Linked DNA regions of Arabidopsis thaliana. The protein of the gene in region 1 interacts with the protein of each later gene in a biochemical or structural test. Each region holds a gene or a part of one and is shown in the gene's direction. Other genes may lie near its edges.

The links.
Region 2: the proteins of OBP1 (region 1) and TGA4 form a complex in vitro, tested with the Arabidopsis thaliana proteins (one study listed by BioGRID).

What each region holds. Positions count from the first base shown.
Region 1 is NC_003074.8:18,707,676-18,711,453, forward strand, and holds OBP1 (OBF binding protein 1), read left to right. Parts: upstream 1-1,937; 5' UTR 1,938-2,196; coding exon 2,197-2,958; 3' UTR 2,959-3,161; downstream 3,162-3,778. Other genes in the region: AT3G50420 (Pentatricopeptide repeat (PPR) superfamily protein), read right to left, coding at 3,196-3,778. UniProt on the Arabidopsis thaliana protein: Transcription factor that binds specifically to a 5'-AA[AG]G-3' consensus core sequence. Enhances the DNA binding of OBF transcription factors to OCS elements.
Region 2 is NC_003076.8:3,142,619-3,146,550, reverse strand, and holds the start of TGA4 (TGACG motif-binding factor 4), read left to right. Parts: upstream 1-2,297; 5' UTR 2,298-2,339; exon of another isoform or gene 2,340-2,351; intron 2,352-2,393; exon of another isoform or gene 2,394-2,564; coding exon of another isoform or gene 2,565-2,828; intron 2,829-3,932. Other genes in the region: AT5G10060 (ENTH/VHS family protein), read left to right, coding at 1-557; AT5G10050 (NAD(P)-binding Rossmann-fold superfamily protein), read right to left, coding at 908-1,247, 1,588-1,747, 1,958-2,297; AT5G10040 (uncharacterized protein), read right to left, coding at 2,565-2,828.

The sequences.
Region 1 (3,778 bases):
ATAACATATATACAGTTTTAAATTGGAACAAATATGATCACAATGATAGATCATATAAACACTCATTTAGTCATGCTCACCAGACGTTATTTGTAATGACTTTTCCATGTGTTAACAAAACTTAAAACGAGAGTTTATCAAAACTTATTATTTGGATTTACATGTTTCTCTTTTTTAAAAGGTTATGTTTGTTTTCGTCCCATGATGTAACTTTAAATCTTAGTATAACCCTATATATTTATTGCATAGATTTGGTGTTGATGTGGGATTAATGTGGTCCTTAAGAAGTCATACTCCAATACAAATTGTTTAGTCGTATGTGGACTAAGATAGATTCTGATTCGCTTGTCATAATCAAATCATTCATAATACAATTTTAGTGTTTATATTGTGTGAAACACGAACATAGTCCACCGCCCACCGCCACTACCGTTTTAAATTGAAATTTGTGAACAAATAAGCGACAGTCACCTGTCTATATACTTTGAAATAAAAAACTTAAAACAAAAGTGTTCAAAAAGAATAATCTCTAAATAGAGTAATAAACAAACAAAAGATCTCCGGTACATTACAATATAGTAATGTCTTTTCTAAGACAGCGAACAAATGAAACAAGATCAATTTTTTTTGGACTTTAATTTCAAAAGCTGCTTGATCGATCCAACAAAGAAACAAATAATTTTTAATTCTTCTCAAAAAATAAAGTAATAGGATAAATCCAATTATCCATTTTAAAGTAAAAAATTTAACGTAGACGATTGAAAAACGTGTCCCTTGTTTCCTACTTTCTCGAACATTCATTCTTTATTCTTTTTAATTCCGAATAGTTACGCTTACGATAGAAAATTAATGAGCTTACATAAATTTAACTTCTGACATTTACGGATGCTTTAGAAGAAAAAAACTAAATTACTCTATTAGTAGTACTAATTGTTATCGGAAACATACGTTTGCTTGGTACATTATAATAATGGAAAGAATCTTAAGAGATAAATATACAATTACTGGGAAAGGGCCGTACATTACATTGATAAGCTCAATAGTCTCCAAACCTGTGTTGCCTACTGCGACCTACTCTCTCTCTCTCTCTGTATGCGTTATCTCCGTATCATTTTTTTTTTTTATCAACGTGTCTTTGTTTTTCCACGAAAGATAAAAAATCATGTCATTATTATTAGTTTTGACTGTTGTTAGTACTAATTTAAACTTTAAACATATGTGACAAAAAAAAAAAAAAACTTTAAACATAAAAGCAACGTCATGACCAAACTTTAGCATTATTAGCCACATAAGTACAATTATTTTCATTTTTTGTCAAAAAATTGATTTATAAGGTTGGTAAAGAAAAGACTAAAATATGTATCATGATGTTTTCCCGATAATTAGGTACCAAAAATTATAGTCATCGATTAAAACCACACCGGTGAATTTTATCTCTGTTGATGTTTTTAAGGAATTTTTTTTTACGTTTTACTCATTTTCAAATGCCTCAAATATTTCAATTAAACGTTTGTGTGTGCCTATTTCACATAAATAAGCTTGTTTGGGAATTGTGATAGTCAAATATTGCGACCATCATTACAAATCATGTTTTTTTTTTCATGTCACTCACCACCATGAATTCTATGTGAGTTTTTTCCTTCTTTAAATAGTTGTATCCATATGTAGTATAAGTTAACTCGAATCTTAGCAACTAAAGCTAAACAAAATCTATAAATCCAAGTATTAAACCACAATTAAAGATGTGTTTTTAAGTGTGTGTGTGTGTGTTTATCCATTGTTCAAAGTCCAAAACTGAAAACTTTGAAAACAGAGCCATCTACGTATGAAGAGAGCCGACTTCATAGGGATGAAAAACAGAGCATTTCACTGTTTACAATAATCCCATAGCCGACTCAACAATTCCAAAGCTAAACAATAATAAACAAATCCTCATAAAAAGACAAATTTCAAAGACAAGAGAGAAGAGAGAGATAGAGAGCGTGGCCTCTAATCAACCCAACACCCTCTGTCAAAAACAAGCCTGACTTTCTTCTCCATCCCCATTTCTATCTGCGCATGTCTCTCTCTTTCTTCTCCATAAAAAACCAAATTCTCACTCTCTCATACCCTAAAGTTTCAACCTTTAAACCCTAAAACCAAAAAAGCTTCAGTCTTTTGCATCACTTCCCTTAAAGCTTCAACCTTTCTCCGATTATGCCGACGTCTGACTCCGGTGAACCACGGCGAATAGCTATGAAACCTAACGGCGTAACAGTTCCGATTTCTGACCAGCAAGAACAGCTTCCATGTCCTCGTTGTGACTCATCCAACACTAAGTTCTGTTACTACAACAACTACAACTTCTCTCAGCCTCGTCACTTCTGCAAAGCTTGTCGTCGTTACTGGACTCACGGTGGTACTCTCCGTGACGTTCCTGTCGGTGGTGGTACTCGTAAAAGCGCGAAACGTTCCCGCACTTGCTCGAACTCTTCTTCCTCCTCTGTTTCTGGTGTCGTCTCTAACTCTAACGGTGTTCCGTTACAAACGACGCCTGTTCTCTTCCCTCAGTCGTCAATCTCTAACGGCGTTACTCACACAGTAACTGAAAGCGACGGAAAGGGAAGTGCTTTATCTCTCTGTGGAAGTTTCACCTCCACTCTGTTGAACCATAACGCTGCTGCGACGGCTACGCATGGATCCGGTTCGGTTATTGGTATCGGAGGTTTTGGAATCGGACTCGGGTCGGGTTTTGATGACGTCAGCTTTGGACTCGGAAGAGCGATGTGGCCGTTTTCAACTGTTGGTACTGCGACAACGACGAATGTTGGGAGTAACGGTGGTCATCACGCTGTTCCAATGCCAGCCACGTGGCAGTTCGAGGGTTTAGAGAGCAACGCTGGTGGTGGATTTGTCTCCGGTGAGTACTTTGCGTGGCCGGATCTTTCCATCACAACTCCGGGAAACTCACTCAAATGAGAAAAGCTTCTGTCTTCATCAAAGGGCTTCAAAGTCTCTTCCTTTTTTTAGTCTCTATTGGTGATGTTGATCTCTTAGTTTGTGTCTTGTCAATTTAGAAACTTGTCTTCGGAAACTAGAAAACAGAGAAAGTTTGTGTTTTTTTGGCTCTATGTTCTTAACTTTGGTACTTTCTTCTGCTCTGTTTCGTTTAATTGATTTCGAATGGAAATGACTAAACTTGTTTAGAACAAACTTTTAATTTGAACAGACAAGTTTATTGAATGATGATTTGCACAACATATTTCTCTTTAATCTATTTAATTCATCTTGAGCTTGACTTACAACTTCTGGGTTCGACTGGTCTCCTGAGGAGAAAACTTGTGTATTGTTGTTGTTCACTTCAATCCAGCTCAATCCTGGATCTTTAGATGAAGCTAATCCTCTAATCTTCCTTCTCATCTCTGCAACATCCTCCCATCTCCCATTTACTGCATATAAATTTGATAGTAGAATGTGTGTTGCAGTGTCTTCTGGATCAAGTTTCAGTATTTGCTCAGCTGCATATAGTCCTATCTGCAAGTTTCTTGTGTTAACACATGCGCTTAGCAGAGTTCTCCAGAGCTCTGCTTGGTTGTTCCCGGGAGGAGATTGTTCTATCAGTTCCAGTGCCTCGTCTACTAACCCAGCTTTTGATACTAAATTCACCATGCAAGAGTAGTGCTTAAACCCTGCTTTGATGCCCTGTTCCTTCATTTGGTTCCATAGGAACTTACCTTGCAACGTTGATCCCCTGTGGCTACAGGCTGCTAATAAAGACAAGTATGTAACAGCATCTGGC
Region 2 (3,932 bases), on another chromosome or scaffold:
ACATGCAGAAACGGCTTAATGATGAGGATTACACATCAAAACAAACAACTGCTGCCACTACGATAACCGAGACAAATGACAACACCAAATCTGGTCAAGCATCAAAAATGACGCCTGCATCTATTGCTGCAATGCTCACAGCGTCAACCTCATCACATATGATAATGCAGTCTGTTCTATCTTCATTCGCAGCTGAAGCAACAAAGACTTCTGGTCTATCCAAATCAGAGAGCACAGTTCCGGTCTCAGACACTAATGCTTCATTCCCTTCTTACAACAACTCCCAGAATCAGACACCTACCACACAAGGTCAGTACCATGTAATACCTAATCCACCACCACCACAGTTCCTAAAACCACCGGTAATGAATAACCCTTACGCCTTTGGCAACATTCCGTTAATGCCACCTGGGCTTCCGCCACCACCACCACCACCACATTTGATAGGTAATCAACAGCCTCAAATTCCTCAGTCGAACTCAGCTCAGCAATCTCAACAAGGTCCAACTTTCCAGCCACCAGGGATAATGTATTACGGAGCTCCACACCATTCTTAAAATAGAAATGATGTTAGTTAATAGCTTTAGATAGTTCTGACCCTTTTTATCTGCTCGAATGCGGTTTCGATGTTACATTGTTGGGTCAAATCAAAGTAGAACTACTGTTCCTCTGGTTGTAGAATCCTCACCTTTTCCCGTTACAGATATTTGTACCACAAGTTTCTACAACATAATGTAATAATTTCTCCTGTTCACTCTCTATCTCCTTCCTGTATGTATGTATACTTCTATACCTTAAGAACCGAACTGACTCAAACATGGAGACATAAGAGATTCAATTAACAATTTGAACAAAGCTTTTACATTCGTGTTTAAGGTACATTCTGTCTTAAACCCCAACCTGATTATCACTTCTTCATTAAAACCTGCTTCTGGAAAAAATCTTTGAGCCATAAGGGCATATGATACATGACTGCCATGAGGGTTGAATACCTGCCTGACGAGAACCAAGCGGGTGGATTCTTCTTCAGCACTGCGGCTACAGTGTCTCTGGCAAATGTTTCTGCAGGAGTTGGATTCATCCTCTGTGATATAAACGCCCTTTCTCTGATAGCTTCTTCATAAGGCTTGTATAGTTTCAGCTCAGGCATTTTGTTGAAAGTTGCCACAGCTGAGTTTGCTATGTTTGTTCTTATTCCTCCCGGGACAACATTGATGACATCAATCCCAAACGGACGAAGCTCCAACCTGACGTTAAGCAGGAAACATTACAAAACAATTGACAAACCAAAACCATCCGGTGCTGGATAATTTGAACAACTACACTTGTCATGAACATCAAGAATCATCAACCTAACCCAACATCAGACTTTAGTCCTCAGAAATAATGATACTCAAGTTTGATCACACCTTAAAAAAAGATTAGACCATTTCAACAATTTTTAGTTTACTACCATCAAATCTCCATTGACAGAACAAACAGAATATATATCAGCATGCGACATAGGAAGATTATTCAAACGACACAAATAGCGGCGTTTGATAAGTTAAAACAGTGGAACCAAATCTGAAAACGGTAAAAGCAAACCTCAGAGTATCGGTAAGAGCATGAATAGCAGCTTTGGTAGCTGTATAGACACCAGCCCATGGACCAGGTGCCATAACAGTGATACTTCCAACGTTGACAATCTTTCCCTTTTTCTTAGACACCATGTGTGGTACAACAGCTTGAGTCATCCTCATGGAACCTGCATTGAAAAATTCACTTCTTCAAAACTCTCCTAACAGCCCAAACGCAACACACATGATCAACACGTATTTGAGTTCCTTGAATGTCCACAGAATCAACATTTGAAATGGATTGTAAATTCCAATGATTCACTAATAAGCAAAAAAACCAGAACTGTTGAAGCTCCAATAAATGTAATAATTGAAACTAAAAATCAAATCTTTATTACCAAAAACATTGGTGTTGAATGTGTTTTCCATGGCGGAAATTGGAGTCTCCGCCAGAGGTCCAACGCACTGAACTCCGGCGTTATTAACAAGAACGTCGATCTTACCGAACTTATCAATAACCTCCGACAAAACCTTACTCACATTCTGGTCCGATTGCACATCAAGCTCCTTCACGAATAACCTCGAATCTTGCTCCAGATCCGTCATCGTACTCCGTGATCGACTCGTCGCCACCACTCGACATCCCTTCTCAGTGAACTCACGGGCCAGCGCGTGACCAATTCCTCCCTGAGAACATCCCGTAATTAGAACCACCGGACTCTCATCGCCACTCTCCATTTTAGAGTTCCGTGGAACAACAACAATGGAATTTTTTTTTTTGTGCAAACCAACAAATTTCAGAGATTAATTAATGCATCGGATTAGGCTTAATTACTACGATGATTTGTTTTTTCTTACTACGACACCGTTTCCATTAACTTACAAGAAACTGTACTTAAAAACTAACCCAAAAGAGTATAAAACCAAAGCTTGTAGAACTCGAAACTTAAAGCAACATGCCCTCTGGTGATTAGAGAAGCAAATGAAAGTAACATCATGCCTAAACTAGATTTCCAGCATGAGGTTCAAACGTGACTTATAGTACAAGGATGAAACATAGTTAAGCAGAAAAAAGCCACTAGAAACCGCCACAGCAAACTGAGATTTAGCTTCAAATTTCCTCATCAGACTTTCAATCTTCTTCTCCTCAATCCCAAACATCATCAACCACCCAACCTCCGCTGTATTCGATGCTTTCTCTGCCGTTGTATTCACCTTTTGGTTACATTCATCTGCCACTAATATTGCTATGTCCGCCGATGAATCCATTGTTGGATCTTCCTATATCAGTTGTCTGTCTCCAATTCTATGCCAAAGATACACGAAGCTATTTATACTGGCTTCAGTGTGCGGGTTTTGAATGAGGAATGTTCCACTTTCTTTTTATGTTAATCATATCACATTACTTTCTATTGGCTTTGATGGTTTCTTTAAAGAGAAAATTGGCTAGGTTGGTTTATTGATACCGTGTGTGCACCAATACTTGTTTTAGTTACAGACAATGGTTTTAAAAACCTCGATTAGTCGGCATTGTCCAAATAATATTATACTTTTTGTGAAATCATTTTATTCCTCATTATCGAAACCCAAATCTGTTCAAAACACTTTATTGGGCCATAAATTATTATTTCTCAATCTTATGTTACAAGCCCAATTTTATATAAACTTACTTACAGCCCATTTCTCGACATTTTCAGTTTTTGACAAAAAAACTTTTTGGTTTCAAATTAAATCTTTCTTCTCTTTGTGGGCTTTCAAAACTGATGGGGATGCTCTTACAACTCATGATTTTTTGTTTCGGGGGATCAGGAAATGATAGGTCTCGTTCCACGACGATTTTAATAATCTTCTTTTAGATTATCTATCTTTTACTTCAACCAAAATTACTATTAGACGAAAGATGTTGACCAGAATACGTATTTTATTTTTGATAAATATTCAGCTTTTATATAATATAGTAGAAGAAAAGAGTAAAGTAAAAGAAGAAGATAAAATGTAGTCAAAGGTAGGAACCAAAAGGAAAGAGAAGAAAAGGAAGTTAATCTTAACATGATGATAGTTCCCATTTTGTCTTGGGGATAATGTCGCAAAGACTTCCTCAATTTTCTTACTTTCTTCCTATTTTACGTTCTTTTTCTTTTGTTTCTAGAAAGACATATATCTTTATTTGATATATTATATTCATATGAAATTTAGAAAGAATGTAAGATATATATATATATATATATATAATGAGTATTTAGAAAGTAAGTTACTTCGATTAATTAATCAACTTGGCTATAAAAACTATTATGAGTCAAATGTACATATGAACAATCTACTCAATTGGCTACTTCACAAATCTATCTATTTGTTTCAAGAAAATCCTTGCAA